3 linked regions of the Drosophila melanogaster genome follow. The gene in region 1 interacts genetically with each later gene. Each region holds a gene or a part of one and is shown on either strand. Other genes may lie near its edges.

Evidence for each region. Genes that interact genetically often act in the same process or in processes that back each other up.
Region 2: of tll (region 1) and Cadps, changing one suppresses a phenotype caused by changing the other (phenotypic suppression), as found in Drosophila melanogaster (one study listed by BioGRID).
Region 3: of tll (region 1) and Doc2, changing one enhances a phenotype caused by changing the other (phenotypic enhancement), as found in Drosophila melanogaster (one study listed by BioGRID).

The regions. Positions count from the first base shown.
Region 1 is NT_033777.3:30,850,698-30,854,925, reverse strand, and holds tll (tailless), read right to left. Parts: upstream 2,612-4,228; 5' UTR 2,380-2,611; coding exon 2,304-2,379; intron 2,183-2,303; coding exon 900-2,182; 3' UTR 526-899; downstream 1-525.
Region 2 is NC_004353.4:1,230,006-1,234,897, reverse strand, and holds the start of Cadps (Calcium-dependent secretion activator), read right to left. Parts: upstream 3,016-4,892; 5' UTR 2,708-3,015; intron 1,770-2,707; 5' UTR 1,729-1,769; coding exon 1,388-1,728; intron 220-1,387; coding exon 99-219; intron 1-98. UniProt on the Drosophila melanogaster protein: Calcium-binding protein involved in exocytosis of vesicles filled with neurotransmitters and neuropeptides. May specifically mediate the Ca(2+)-dependent exocytosis of large dense-core vesicles (DCVs) and other dense-core vesicles.
Region 3 is NT_037436.4:9,013,232-9,021,161, forward strand, and holds the start of Doc2 (Dorsocross2), read right to left. Parts: upstream 6,016-7,930; 5' UTR 5,661-6,015; coding exon 5,570-5,660; intron 4,855-5,569; coding exon 4,698-4,854; intron 1,745-4,697; coding exon 1,477-1,744; intron 1,399-1,476; coding exon 1,261-1,398; intron 391-1,260; coding exon 1-390.

The DNA of each region.
Region 1 (4,228 bases):
AAACTGGGGCGGCCATTGCACTGCGTCCCTCAGGTTCCCAAATTAATGCCGACTTTGGTCTGTTCATGCAGAAAAACTATGCTAATTTTCCACGGTTTCTTCTGCGATCTAATATTTCTTTGTTCCAGTATTTGCATAATTCATTTGTGATTAACTGGGTTGCCCTGTGCGGTTGCTTTGTCGTCTCTAAGGATGCGAAAAGCCTCACGAAATGGCCATAAAAAGAATGATAATTCCGTGTGTAATCTCATGATTCCATGTTTGGCATAACACTTTCAGCTGCTTACAAAAGTTGCGCAAATAACTAGGACCTACTTCTTGTTTAGTTTAGATATATTTTTTCTAAGCATAGCTTTTGAAAACCAAAAGACCTTTCAAATAATGTGAATACTACGTTTTTTCATTTAATTAATGAAATATATTTTTTCAAGTTTAAAACTTCCGATAGTCCAAATCCAAGTTCTGAAACTGTCAGTTCCATTTCTTCCAAAATATTGCATCCACCCAAAAAGACCCATTAATGTTCATTTCGAAAACCTTTAGGTTTATTTTGAATAATTATTTTTCCAAATCCTAAAGCTAATAATATGCGCTTAAAACTAAAGTGTTTAAAACTACGATTGACGTATTTAACAGGCAAAGTTGAAACTTTTGCGAATGCAATTTGAAACACATCTGGATGGTCTGAGAGACTTTAGCTAAGATTACTTCGAGTTCTGTTTAGGTAAGGTATTAAGGTGAGTGTTGTGTACGTATTTTAAGGCTCGACTCCTGGATATGAGAAATCGTTGATTTCACTGATCGAGTATTGTCCAAAGCGCTTCTTCCGAGATTATCACAGTTCCCAGCACTTGGAAGGCACTTCGAGTGCGGCGATTAGTCTAGGCTCTACATACTTTTCAGATCTTGCGCTGACTGTACATGTCGGAGATGAGGCGCACAATGGTGATGTCGCCGATGGTCTTTCGGAAGAACAGCTCCTCGATGGTGAAGCTTGAGACCTTGTGCATCAGCTGCACCACGCCCAAGAGCGTCTGGAATCGCATGGGCTGCGAGGGATGGGTCCTCTGGATGTAGTTGTGCAGCGCACTCCGGGCATCGTTGTGCATGGCCGCCACTTTTCCCGACTCCAGAAGACCCCTGGATTCAGCAGAGGCCGAGGAGTTCGGGCTGCCGCTTCCTGTCAGGATTGAGCTGTTGGCTAAATCCTCGGTAGAACTTGCCGACGGTGGTGACTTACGGAAGAGCGAAATAGCCCTCAGACACTCGTACTCGGTGCTGTCAATGTTCAGATGGCACAGTTGGTTCAGCACCTCCTGGAAGGCGTGCACCTCGCGGGTCACCATGCCCATGATCTCCCGGTTGGCATTCTCGGACTCGTAGACGAACAGCAGCTGGGCGAAATTCATGGGCATTAGGTACTGGGCCATGGCCAGGATGAAGAACTCCTTCCAGGACTCCTCCAGCAGGAGCAGCTGATCCGGCATGGGCAGTTCGGTGAAGGCCCGTACGCTCTTGATCCAGTTGACGTTCTTGAATAGGTGTTCCGCCGCGGTTTCCTTGATGTGCTCAGCTGCCATCAGCGGAGGAGTGGGGGGCAGGGCCCGAGTGGCCAGGGCATTCATGTAGGCGGCGGTGGGCGAGAAGAAACCGTGGTGTCCTTGGTGCACCGGGTGATGGGGCACTCGTGGCACGGATAAGTCCAAGACAGCGGCAGCCGATGGTGGCGGCTGGAAGGCAGCCATGTGAGCAGGATGATGACCAGCCCTCTGGGGCAGGCCAGGCATGGGCATCGGTACTCCAGGAAAGCCGGTCAAGGCAGCCGTGTTCATCAGAATTTCGGCGGGTATTTGTGGCATCTCGCCGGCGCCCATCATGGCATCCTTGTACATGGCCATGTGGCGACGCAGAGTGGAGTTCCGCGGTCCCCGCTCGTGCTGCACTGCATCCTTGTTCATTCCGACCTCAAAGCACTTCCTCAGTCGGCAAGCCCTACATTGGTTCCTGTGCGTCTTGTCCACCACACAGAGTCCCTGCTTCTGCGACTTGCACACATACTGCCGGGATCTCCGAATGCTCCTCTTGAAGAATCCGGCGCAGCCATCACAGGCGTAGATGCCGTAATGCTTGCCGGAGCTGTGATCTCTGCAGACTTTGCAGGGCACATGGTATAGAATGCGACCTGGAAATTCAAGAAGGGGGGAAAGTTGGTATAAGTAAAGGATTGTCTTAATTTTATATATTAGGAAGATTGTTTTCTTCTTTTTTCATTGCTATCTGATTTTTTTTTTTGCTATACTTACTCGATGCCGCTGGCGAAAGACGCACGCTGTTGTATTTCTGATCCATCATGTCTGGTGAACCCTCCGACGACTGCATACCGATGTGGGGCGTAATTTTGGCGATTTTTGTAGAAACGCTTGCACAAATTGAATTTCACTTGGCACTGGTGTATCTTTGAGTCGTTTTGGATTTTTGTTTTAACGGTTTGGGTGGACGGCGGTATTGCGGATTGTGTGATATATTCGATATATCCTTGGTTACTCCGATGTGGACTCGCTGAGATCACGATGGGTTGTGTTGTCTGCTGTGAGGACCGCCGGCGTTTTAATAGTCCTGCAGACCAAATCCATTCATCGAGCAGTCGATCACCCTTAGGTAGACAAACTCCGCGTTCATTGGTCGAAACTCGGGAGAGGGTTGCTTCTAATGCCCTCTCTCGCATATCCTCTCTCACTCTCCCCTGGAGAATCCTTCGATCCTGCGGCAGGCTGCCATTGCGAAAAATTCATTGAGCAAGGAACGCAGCAGCCGTCGCTCATTCTCATTCTCAATTCTTTCGGTTTTTATGGCCCTTTTCCGCAGGATTCACTACCTGCTCTCTCACGCGAACTCCTCGTCCGTCTGCTACCCTCTCTCGCAGCAGAGAATCTCTGCCCGTCCTGCGACAGTTGTTAATGAAGAGATATCCTTCCATATCCATGGCCGAGTATTTTATGGCGCTGCCATTATTGCCGCTTTGTGATTTGTGTGAAGTACCTGTGGGTTCGCTTCTAGTCCTGCGAGGCGAGTCCTTTTCGAGTGGCGATAGTAGCAGCAGGGGTTGAATACCACGCACTATTGATTGTTTTCCATTCAGTAATTAGGTTTTTATGATGCAACCATATAAATGTTTAGGGAAATGATAAATCTAAAGACTTTGATAGATATCAGATTGTACAGATTTCTTGAGCTTATCAATTTTACACAAATCTGAGTATGAATTTTGTATCGTAATTTTTAAAAAATGTACTCAACATTTTTTAATTAAGAAAGTGCATTATAATGTTGAGCATCTAAACAAATTCTTCGATTCCCCCATAAAATTAAATTTTGGAATAACTTCTGCTAACCAAATACAACGTATTTCCTATATAAAATATATGCACTGATTAAAATAAAAAACAAATATTTGCATTTCTTAGCCAGCTTTGGCAACTTTTTAGGTTCAATCTAAAAATACTTTATGAAAATTATTGCGGAGCTCAGATTGCGTTTTTAATAATAATTTTTATAAATGCTTAATAAATAAAATTATTTTAAAGTAAACCCAAAACGGAGTTGTTAAAATCAAAGGTTCATGTTACTAAAATGGGAGCTAGCCATTTGAGATAGTAGCTCCCGCGGCTGAGCCAGATTAGGCGTTGCCTTTTGAGAGCCTTTAGGATTCAAGTGGACAGTGCCTCTAATCTCGCTTGGTCCTGCCAAGTCCCGAAGGACCCACCGATTCCTCGACTTAAGCTCGCCGCTTAAGCAGATTACGGATTTTAGATCGCGGGAGTGGTACTGCCTGGAAAAGGCACGCTGGTCGGGAGGCTGCTAGATCAAGCTTTTCTGTCTTCGGGATCAGCGAATTCAAAAGAAAGACATTGTGCGAGGTCCCAGCATCGGGCGAGTACTTAATAATGTTAAGCAAGATCCTGTAAGTCTGGTGCGATTACGCACCAACGCCTAAGGCCATGTGATCCTGATCCAGGACCTCGAACGTGGGAACAGCTCTCTGCTCGAACGGACTCGAATGCAGAAGGGCGGAGATGCAAATGCAATTCATTTGATATACGATAGACACTTGAAAAGAGCAATTATATTTCGATTCGTATTACGGATGCGTAACTTGATCAATAAAATGCTTGACATGATATCAACAACAGTCGCCAGGGGTTGCAATGTCCAGGGGTTCTAATTGGAC
Region 2 (4,892 bases), on another chromosome or scaffold:
CTCAACTATTCCCGATCGTCTATAAATAATACTAGTTTCGGCGAAATAATTCTAACTTTTAATTTAAATGTACCCTGGTTATATCGGTTTCTACTTACATGCGGCTCTGCAGTTTCATGTTTTTCGCTGGTTAGAGATGGCGACGGTGACAATGGCCTTGGCAATGAGTTTGCCCTTGACGATCCAACACTTTGATTTAAAGTTTCTTGCGAAATTCCACTGAACAATAAAAAAATTATTTGTTGCTTCATTTTATAATACTGTTATATTTTGCGTTAAACCATTCAAGAGAAATAATTAGGGATAAAAGTCAAGAGGCATAAGGTAAAGATGTATCACTATGAACGGCAGTCCTCGTAGTGACGAAGCGCACCAGAAGACTTCCCATGCGACTACACTATTTTATAATAATATTTATAATAATTACACAATAATTACGACAATAATTTTAAAGTCGATTTCCTCAACTATCAGATACCCGTTACTCTGGCATATCGATAGAACTAAAGGAATAAAATTAAAAAAAGTTTTAAAAATTTTCAATATTGTGGCCGTGATTGTTCTGGTCGGTTTGTACATGTTTAAAGGAGCTTGGCCAATGTGGTTTTGGTATACCGATAAAAATGTCTGTGAAATCTGCAAGTCTTATCTGACTTCTCTATCTAGGATGTCATACAGACAGACGGACATGACCAGATCGACTAGGCTATTGATCCTGATCAAGAATATATGTACTGTGTTAGGTCAGAAACGTTTCCTTCTACCTGTTAAATACTTTATAACAAACCTAGTATACTCTTTTACTCTGAGAGTAATGGGTATTACAAGAGAGGACCTCACAGTATTGGGAGGTTTGTGTGCGTAAAGATAGAAAGTGGGAAGAAACTTAATAAATGGGAAAAAGGTACGTTGAACGTGGACAAAATATTTTTGCATATCGATAGAAAGTGAAAAGAATAAAAAGAGAGGAACATTTTGAGCGAGAAAAATTTTGAAATTTCTCGATCGCACTTCCACTAGCTGAGTACAGGTATTTGATAATCTTGGAACTCGATTATACTCTTCCATGTTTTTTATTTTTGCTTAACTCCTTCAATAACATATTTTTCATCATCATTTTATTGGCTTTATCTTAAACTTTAACTATATATTGCAGGCTACCGTGCACACGGTCATTTGACTTCGAAAGTTTCTGCACTCACTTGGACAAACAAAATAACTAAATATTTCGTGCCCTTTACCCTCCCATAAGAATAAAATGTATTTTAAAATAAAAAAATAATAAAAAGTAAAAAAAAATTGGGCATTAATTAAAACACGAACACAATGTACAGAAATTGTTGTTGCAATGTGTTTGAAAATAATGCGTTGTATGAACATTACCAACCTCGGAATACCATTACTGGGAACTTCAAGATTTCCGGTATCAGCTCGGTTGCCACATATTTGCTCAATTTTGTTAGAGGTTGATCCTAAAGCTGCTACACTAATGTTCCCAACATCGTTGCGGTTACAAATAGAACTTATATTAGATTGTCTTTGATTTCCGATCAAATCTGTATTAGAGCCAGATACAGGAATGTTTGATCCTACGACGGATCCTGCAGATCCTCCAATTATAGAAACGGCACTTGTTCCTTTGGTCGTATTTGTAAGACGTCCTTTTGATGAAACGTTAGGAACAGCGTCATCTTCTCCTTCTTCCTCACTTGAACTAGGATCAATCATGGTAAAAAAATAAGCGGAACGCGATTACTTGTTTTTTAATCCTAAAAATAAAAGAATTCAAAATCATATTAAAAGACGAAATTTGTATACCCTCGTAACATTTTTAATAGTCTTGTAAATTTCTATCGATTTGCAAAACAAAATTTTTGCCACGCCAGCAACCCCCTAAAACTGCTACGCCCACACTTTTAAACGATTTTTCGAAATTTTTCATCATTTTATTGGCCTTGTAAATTTCTATCGATTTGACTTGCATTATCCATCAATGGTTCCTGTTGACGTACGTCAGTCACTTGAAATCATGGTATTTGATGACTTTCATAGCATTATGTGTAGTGTATAATGTTGCACAAATTACCCAGTTTAATTCACATTATCGATGTAGTTACCTTTTTTACTATTTTTTTTATAATGCACATCACCAGTTTTCATTGAGTTTTTTAACTGGCAGCTCTCGGCGGTTTGTGGGCGTGGCAACATTGGTCAATAAACTAGCGCTAATTCTATGTCTAGAATCTGTATACTTAATCTGGCAAATCGATAAAAATTTACAAGAGTAATAAAAATATGAAAAAATATCAAACCATTTTTGTGGGCGTTAGATTGGGCGTGGAAACATGAGTATGATATTACTATTACATTATTACATTGTTATTATTGTACTGATTAAAACAACGATAACTTTAGCTTGTTTCTTTTACTTATTGAAATTATACTTATAAATCGTTTGTTTACATTTATAATACGCTATTTGATGGGGAATTTAAAAAAAAGGTGAATGTATGCCTTATAACTTAGAACAAAAATAACCATAGTTGATGGGTTTTCAAACGAATTCTTATTTTCGCTAAGTTAAAAAAACCTTTTATTTTTATTTGTAACACACCACCATCTGAAATATGTATATATTTGTTCACCACCACCCTTAAGGGTTGAAGAATAGAGCAATTTCTTTGGGAAGGTTAATTGCTTCAAATACCTTAAATATTAGATTTATGCTTGTCGTTCGGTAATGTATGGTGCTTATAATATAGCTTTAAATTATGAACAAACTTTATCACTATTTATATGAATTCGAGTTACACGATAACAAAACTTTGAATTCATTTACTATGTGAATGACAAACGAAATTCATAGTATAATTATTGACAAAAATATAAGTTTTTTATGTATTTTCAAGGCGACATCAGGTTTATTTCACAAATTATCTACTTCTATTTATACAGTTCTCTATTTTCACATATGAATAAATGGATTTCCGTTTGAAGAATAGTTAAGTTGGAGAAGCAAAAAAAATCGATGGAACTATCGATAACTTCGATGGTGGTAACCTTAGCACTCCCGTTACAACTACTGTTTTCGACGATTTGGTTGATGATTTGCAGAAGTTTCTGATTTTCAATAATTTAAGTAAAGCAGGACTGTCTGAAACACAATTAGATTTAAATTATGCCTAAATTTTGTAGTTGAAGGGATTCTTAAAATACTTTTTATTTTGGTTAAGATGAATTTCTTAATAACTATTTGATAAACGTTTTGGAAATTATATCTACCTTAGTTTATTTAGTTCAAAGAAATGGAATATTTTTTACAGATCAATAGAAACTGTCAAGACAAATAAAAACGTGGTGGAACTCCATAGTCAACTCGTTACTTATATAAAAATTAAAACAGAAAACAGTTAAATCTTTAAAAAATTAATCTGAGTCAAAAGTTAGTTTCTGGACTATATGCATTGCATTTGACTGTTTTACTGCCCGCCATGCTTGACAAAATAGCATTCGAGTCATAAAACACTATAAACAATGAGCACAAAACATTGATACTAGGACATTAGAGACTTGCCTTGATTTAACTTATACATATTTGTTGGCAAATCGATAGAAATATTCACAACAAATAATGATTTGATAAATATTAAGTAAAGTATTTGTCCTAAAACAACAGCTCTTTCGCCCATTCGTAAAAATTAACCCTAATGACATAATGATCATTATAAGCGAATAACAACGCTTTCTTAGGGCCATGCATGAATGATCTAAACTAAAAAAATGTTATACGACCTTTTTAAAATCATAATAGTAAAATGGGAAAACAGGAATAAATATTCCCATGAATTATATATGTATGTTACAATACCACACGTGTTCTTACGATTTGACTCGCATTATATGGGCAAACGATTGCCCTGCAAATTATATATAAAGTCGATTTCCGCTCGAAAACGGTCCGGTGGACTAAGTATTGATTTATTCAATTTTCGTCACAAACTTTGATATTAGAGCTGTTGTATGCTAAGTGGTTCCTATGTTTGAGTTGCGAAACAAGTTCTAAAGAACTTTATTCTGGACCACCGAAGTCATTTTATATGGTACTCCGTTGATTATGGTTATAAAACGTGCTTCAAACGCTATTGTGAGTACATGTGAGCCAGGTGGCATGTTAAAACTGTTTTAACACGGTCACACTGTTCTTCTCTTTGTTCGGGTCGCTTTGAAAATTGTGTATTCAAATGAAATTGTACGATAAACAAATATCTGGTTTTACCTATTTGTAAAGTATACAATACAAATCATTGCAATACATCAAATATTATAGCTCTCGGTTAATGTTTAATCAAACTGTTCTGATACAGTCTTCATCGATGTGCAATATTTGTACATATATGTATGTATGTACATGGACATAAACTCAATTAAGTGTTGACAATATACTTATTAAGGTATTATTATATTTAATTAATTAAAGGTATAGCAATACAAAAATAATAAATTTAAGCACAAGTGCCGAAGTTTATAACCTCAATATATATTACTATTTATTTTGGCTGTGCCTTTCAACTGTTCGTTATGTATATGCAGATGTAAGTACATATATACAAACTATTTACACAAATAAAAAGTATTTAGAAAAAACCAAGATCGGAAAGTTAAAAAACAAAATCAATTTTGATACGATAATAGGATATTTTTTTAAAGTAGAGTGCATTGCCGACTAAAATGTATATTAAGGCACACAATCGTTATTAAACCAAATATTTCTTATTCCAGTTGCGGCAAACTAGTTTAATGAAAACTGTGTTGTTATAAAACACATTAAATAATTCTGTATCCTGGGAACACCCGAAATGTAATAAACTAATTTATAACAATCTACATAAAAT
Region 3 (7,930 bases), on another chromosome or scaffold:
GGCACTCCTCGCCTGGAGGGGATGCGGATGCGAATGCGAATGTAGATGGGGCGGTGGAGAGCCCAGGGCCAAAGAACTGGCGCCAGGCACCGACTGATCGTCCAGCGATGATGATAAGGAGCAGGCTGAGCCATTTGATCTCAGGCGCTTGATTTGCGGACCATCCGAATCGCCGATCGACGATGTTCCTCCGGCTGTCTCACCGCCTCCTTTCGTTGGCGACATGTCAGACTCGGATTGGGACTGAGAATGGGATAGTGACGGCGACTGATCTTGATCCTCGCCCGTTGGCGATGAAGACATCTTGCGTTTGCAGCGCGATTGTCCCGTTTCGCGGAAGCCCTTGGCAAACGGATTGTTGTCGATCTTCAGCTTGGTGATGCGATCGTTCTGCGGAAGAAGGCAACAAGACGAGCGTGAAATATGACGATTGCCGCCAGCATAATCTTGGGCAACGGGGAGATGGAGATGGAGAAGGAGAAGAAGACTCATCACATAAGTCACTGGCGTCCAGTAGCTGGCGTTAAGTAACATGGCCACTTGACACCAGACTGCGTTTCCAGTTCTCGGTGCTCAGTTCCACTCCAGATGACTTGACAACATTGTGATCTTTCGGATCTTTCTCAAACCGAATCTCCGATCTCTCGGCGATCTTGCTAATTAGAGGCAGACTGGCGTCGGCTGTCAATGGGCCTAGACCTAGACAAAAACACAGCGAGGCGCTCAAATTTACAAGGATGTGGCTATCCAACTTCCTAAAACAACAATCCGACCCGCTGACTTTCTGCCTGCCCTGCCCACCAACTACACGATCCACGGAGGCGTTCCATGCTAATTCGAGACGTTGACCAAGCTACCCACGGCGTGAGCGATCGCCGCTCGTTTGCCCAAAATTAACCAATTAGTGTGATCGTTTCCAGTCTCTTTGCTCAATGAATTGGCAAAAAAAAAAATGCACACACAAGTAGGAAGGCTAACTTCGAGGACACATGACTCGAATACTCTTGGACGAAACATTTTTGTTAAATACCTAATAGTGCGATTTTAGACAACCTTGGATAAGTCTGTGAATAACATGTGAATTAATCAAAGATAGGATACCATGAGGTGATTTTGAACTAGAAGGGATTCTCATCGTGTGGCAAAGATATATATTTTATTTGAGAGTACTAATTAGACATTGAGCTAGACTCATTACCAAAATGATGGCGCCCATTGAGAGGGTAAACGGAGTAGGGATGGGGATGGCACACCACTTACCTGGTAGGCTGTCACGGCCACGAACTCCGTCTCGGCGAACACAAAGGCCTGTTGTGGGGCCCAGGGAATCTGCGCCAGATCAGCGGTGCGTATGACGTGCAGACGCGGCTGATACTTGTGCATGCTGGCCAGGACAATCTGCGAATGGGGATGGCGAAAGGGGTTTGGACTTGGATTAGTAACTGGAGACGACTTCAAAGCCCTGGCCGCACTTACATGGCCGCTGTTATCCAGCGTGTTATTGGTCAACTTGACCTTATTGAACAGTATGGGCTGCGCCTGCCAATGGGCACCGGTGGCCGGACTGTCCGGATGCAGGTACATCCGCTGGGGACTTTGCGGCTCGGCTCCTCCGGCTGGAACCCACTGGGAGCCGGAGAACTTGTAGCGGCAGTCGCCAATGGGTACCATCTCGAGGAGCACGCAATAGTTGCTCTCGTCCTCCAAGCCGGAAACACTTAGTCGCATCGAGGGGAACATGCGTCTTTAGGGGAAAGGAAAAGCATCTTATTAGTTTAATCAGTCTCTTATTATATAAGACAAAATCATTTTTCATTATATTATTAATACAAATAAGACTTTAATATCATAATTATATGGTATATTTTACTATTTGATAAATGGCTAATTTCAAAGTTGTTATAAAACCTAGCATAACCTTTTGTATATACCATATTAGACATGAGAGTTATCTTACAGATATTTCCCTTATAAATATTACCAAATCGTTGGTATACTGCTTTCCTACAACATTTTCCTCTGTGTCAGATGAGCGGGGGAAGTCCAGGAAAACGCCTGGAAAACCTTAGAGCCTTTGTTTACCGAACAAACTCAAATATAGTCATGCTAGAACGACAAAAGGAGCCCATTCCCGGTTCCAGCGTGGGCGTTACAAATATTTAATTGTGAGATTTCCCTTCCATGCGCCATGTAATTAGGACTGGTCAAATAGAGATTGCCCGGTGGAGTAGGGGCCGTTTTCCCTGTGCTAACAAGGATGCGAGGCCCTGACCCTCGCCTTCAACTCCAAGTCGCTGCCGCAGGAACAGCAGGTGGTCACGGCACTTGGCGCCTGGCCGAAAAATGTTTGCCCTTCGTCCTCATCCTCAACAGCGTCCTCATCCTCGAATGGTTTCTTGTTTTTGGCAATGATTTCGTGTTTCCCTCAACCGATGATTAATTAATTGAAATCCACAGAGCCTCGGTTTGCTAACATTTAATTTGATTCTGGCTTCGGGTCTGCCTTTTCAGCTCCGTTGAATTCCATTAGAGCACGGCACCGAAATATTTCGACATTTGTGCGGTTTAGAATTTCATTTTCAATTTGCTTGCTCTCAGTTTTTGTTTATTGTTTTTTTTTTTCTTTATTTTTTTGGCAAGAGTCCGCTGTCTGGATTTGGACAAACGATTTGTTAAGATCGATATCTTTGGCGCGTCTGCGCATAATTACCAGTGGAATTTTCTACTGCGAGTAAGGAGCATGCTGACCACTTGACGGCATTCGACTTGGCGCTTGACGCTTCGCAGGTGCAGGGACACAAGCCAGGAATGCGACGGAGCATCGGATCTCGGACTCCCGAAGGGTACTCTGGAAATATCCAGAGCTCACTCCAATGTTTACCCTACAATTCCATATAAATAGCTGCTTGATATTCCCAGAATTAGCATATTTAGGAAATTAAGAGTGAGACTATTTATTAATTGACAGCTATAAAACTGGAAGCAAACGACATAAATTTTGAACTCTTCAGATCGTAAGCCAGTTTTGAATGAGTCTACTAGGAATAACATTTCTTATTAGAGAAAGGGTAAAATATTTTCTTTTTTTCTTTCTGCAACTAAAAGTTTGAATCCAATTGAAAATTCTGGGTATATTTGCGCTTCTCATCGAAGTTACCGTGTCGCTTCTGTTTACCGCCTCTCTTGGTGAGTGGAGGAGCCCACACAGTCTAAAAGCATCGTGACAAAGTCATTTCATTTGCCGCCAGTATCAGACATTAAGCGATACGGTTTGTTCTATCTAACTTTAATGGCCGTCTGCGCTTTTACCACCCAAAAAGATGGAACGGTTCAAGTGGCAAGCGGAGCCCAGACAAGCAACTAATTAGTTTTTATGAGCGCCACTTGGCATAGGCATAGGTTTTGGACTTGGGATCGTATCCGTATGGGAAATGAAACGGGGATTGGGATGCGATTGGACAGACGGTGGCACTCTGGCGCCTAATCATTAAAAATTCAAATCGATTGCATCGCGACCTCTCCACCGATGCCCATAAAACATTTTTGATGAGCATAAAAAGTATTTAATACGCAGACTATATGAATAATTCATGGCATATATAAAACAAAAGGGTTGTTCGTGGCTCGAAGTGTATTCATTCAATGCATTTCGAGACCAAAAGTTTATGTTAATGCGTTTGGGAACCCTTTTTGATCGGCTCGAACTGAGGGCAAGTGTGAAATTGCTCGTATCTGTCGACAAGCTGTGGTCACTGTCACTGCCAAAAGATACAGATATGTACGAGCATCTTATAGAATGCAGAACGCGAAGATATTTCGGGGCCGCAGGTTGTTCGCTGCGCAGACAGGCGCCACAATAAAAACGCTAAGAGCTACAAAGATGACGACAAAGTATCCTTGACGCGAAGATTTATGCCAGGCGAGGCATAAAGGAGCGCCGACGAACCGACAGGACGTCCCACTGAGCTCGGCGCTCGCCCGATCGGTCCAGTTGGTCGGTCTACAATAAATTACGATGACGCCACTTTACGCACATTCGAACAAGTGCCGGACACTTTTAGGTAGTCGCCTTTGTGCAAGTAGTCGTGCATCTGATCTGATACTCATAGATACACGATAAATTAGCTCCGGGCGATCGCGCTATGCCTTTGATTCGTACTATCTACGATCTGAGCACGCAAAGTGCCGGCGAACTTGTTCGCTTTACGCCTCGTGCGATAGCCGATGTCCAGTGCGCATCAATTTTGGCTGAACCTGCAACCGCTTTTCCATTTCCCGATTTTCAATTTTCAATTTTCGATTTTCACATCCTGCCGACGTAAGTGCATCCTTCCGCCTTGTTTGCCTGTGAAAATCGTTGTCGCGACGCCGCTGTAAACAATTTGCAGGCGCCTGCATCTAATGAGCCTTTAACAGCAGCACATCCTCGCTGGACTCTACTGAATCGGATCGGAATCGGGATCGGGCCAGGGATCGGGCTAGGGATCGTTATAGGGTGCTTTAAGTGCCCGCGCCCGTTGGCTGGTTTATTATTCTTTGCCCTGCGTCTGGGGTATTAGTTTTCATGTTCGTGCTAATGCATCGCTACATCTATGTTTGTTCCCGATCTCTAAAGTCTGTATATCTCGAGATTCCCCCACTCTTGGTTTTTCATCATTTTCATCATCAAAGATCTTTTCTCTCTGTTCTAAACCTACCTGCCACTCTTGGTGATGATCATTTCCGTGCCAATTTGATGGAACTGCTTCCATAGATCGTCGTTCTGCAGGGTCATCTCCACGCCGGGCAACGTGACTCGAGGTGGCATGATCACGTGCCGTGGCATCGGAATTGGCAGCATCGGCGGAAACGGATCTGAAAAGAACAATAATCAATAGGGGGCTTATAGGTTAACAAAAGCTCAAGCAATCTAACAAACTACTTAGTCTTCAACAAAGAAAATTAAGAATTATTGAAATTATGTAAACATATTAACATGGTATTTGGCTAAAATGAAACCCATTCAAATAACTTAATAGTCGCCATTAGTTTAAGAGCGTGGGTCTGAATTAAAGTGTGACATTTCTGACTTATCCAAAGAGATCTTACGGCATAAATCCATATGATGACTGACATATTTGTCATAAAAACAAACGAACAAACATGGGGTTATATAAAAACGCTTATTTGGCGAACGAGGAACACCGATTCTTTCCCGATTACCAAACTTAATGCCCTCCATCTGGTATCCACAAAATAAGGAGCGATACTTTGGCAAACAACGATTTTGTTTTAGGGGTACGCTGATCCCGAAATTTAACGACCGTCGGCAACAAGAAAAATGCATTTGATATCAAGTTTCTCGATCGGCGATCACTTTCCCACATTACTCAGCTTTATGATCCGCTGGCCATAAACACCGCTACTCGCACACACCCCGCTGATCTTGGCCAACTTTGGTGGGCTGAGACAGTAACAGAAACAAAAGCAGTTTGCCAAAAGTTACGACCATTAATGCTAATGATGGCTAACAGCTTTGCCGCACGCGTAACGGGGCGGATGAGTGATATGAAGGGGGCAAGCAGTTTACCTGGTATGCGCTGCATGATCTGCTGGCGATAGATCTCGTGTGCTATGTGCTGCTGCATGCGCAGATCCACCAGCTCGTTCATGGTGATCATGATGTGTTGGGTCCAAAAATAGTACTAAATCTTTGCCCGAAACTTCTTTGTTTGGCGTTTGTCACTTGCACAATTGTTCCCCAGCACACAAAAAGCACTGTCACAACATATGGCGGTGTCTATTTTTTTGGAGCCCGGGTTTACTTTTTAGCCGAGCACGAGACGCCGCCGATTAGCGTCAATTATGCAAATCACGGCACACAAAAGTCTCTCATGTGCGTGGGTGTTAATTTGATTAGGCCCGGTGTCGCGTACGTGGGTTATTATTTTACCACAAATATATTGAGAGAATTTTTTGTATCTTTGGGCGACGGTCGTGTCTTGAGCTCGCCAAGTTCGCATTTCAACTGAGCAAGTTCCGCTGGCAGAGCGATCTCTCGATCGAGCTGAATGGAACGAGCTTGACTCGTTTCCGTCTTGAGCCATTGATCGAGATTACCTGCTGCTCACCATCGATTGGCTGTGGCAGTGTACGGAGTGCGGGAGCTAGCCGTCCCGCTCTGGTTTGGCACCTCCATTTTGAAAAATCCTCTCGATTTTCCAGATGCCATGGCTCCGCCCACGAAGCGCTGACTATCACTCTCTCTCTCTCTCTCTCTTCACATTGTGCCAGCTCGCTCTAATTGCGTTTAATTCTGAAGTGCGAAGTTGCACAGTCAGCGGAGGAGCAGCAACATGTTGCTTCTGGGTCCATTCGCTATGTGTGTGTGCGCTGGCTGGCTGCCTTTTAATTATGATCATGATGATTGAAATTGTTTTTTCTCCGTCTCCGCTTTTTGGCATCTTTTTGTGTATTTATGCTTTGCCCATTTGTAGCCGCTGCCATCACCATCACCATCATGGTGGTCCTCTTGTCTGGCCTCTCCAAGCCGTGTGTGTTTGTCGTTTTGCTGATCATTTATTACATTTTACCCGGCGCACTACAGAGAAAAGAATTTATTGATGCTGTTTGAACAGCAATTTGATGGTTTTTTATTGAAAAATATTTACTCTTGGTGTGTTTGGCAGCGTATTGTATAAGATATTGATCTAAGTATCAGTAAAAGTTCCAATCACTTACTTTAAAGTACCTTGTTTACCTGTTGGCGGATTGATGTTGGATGAAATTGCTTGGTCATCGTTGCAATAGTTTTTTTTTATACACATTTTAGAGTTTATCAGTAGAGAAGAATTGGTAAATAGTTTAATTAATTAATATATTGGGGCCCATTATACAATAATCTTTACTTTTTAATTAAACGAATAACACTTTAATGCAGTTTTCTCTGTGTAATTATATGTTATTTCGACTTTGACGCTGCGTCATTCAGGCATTGATATGGCGGCATCCAAAGGCCCGATATGGCGTCTCCACTTGCTGGTACACGAATATCTATAGGCTATAGTCTAGTCTACAGATATTGCCGGCGATGCAGGTGATCACTGTTTGTGGATCTGACCTTTTAGAGAGCTTGGCAAAACATTTGTTTCAAACGACGGAAACGCGTGTCGGAGCTGCTTGCTAACAAATTCGAAACTAATTAAGGCCCAATGAGGTGGTCTGAACTTTGACTGAAGTTAAGCATACGCCATGTGGGCCGACGATGGCGAAACGTGCTCGGTTTTTAATGTGTTGTTTTCTTTTTTTTTTTTTTGCCAACGACTAGTCTCGTGTTTGCCTCCAGTGCCACTTCCTTTCAAGTTTAAGACAATCGCTTGGCTTATCTGAACAGCATTACTGCGAAATTCCTGAGGCTCTCGATGGGTAAATATGTAGTTAGCCGAGCTAATTTACACAGCACTTTGCTGGCCTGACACATCCACGCATTATTTTCCTATGGATATGGCCATAGCCACAGTTGGCGGCGATAAGCGTCTGAAATTAATTTACTATTAGCAGGCCATTTCGCCCAAATTGCGTTCTGGCCACGTATGAATGTATGCGCCGTCTGACCATAATTTATGCCTCGCGTTTTCACATTTGGTCGCGCTCATTTCCGGTTGCGTTTTCCGTTCTGCCGTCTTTCAGCTCGACTACGTTCGTCAAACCATTAGACATCGATCCTGTAGAGCCTCTAAAGGGTCTGCCCTTTCAGACCATGCCAATAGCTGTGCAATTTGTCAGCACCCAGCTAATTGGTGCTGCCCCTGTGCCTGCTGTCTGACTAATGCATTTCGGTTTACTTCCGTTCGGTTCCGGATAAATGGGCCAACAGGTAGCAAATGATGCACTCGAAGAACTGCTAGTTGAGCAAGTAGTGTTTGCAATAATTAAAATACCTGCAGTTAGT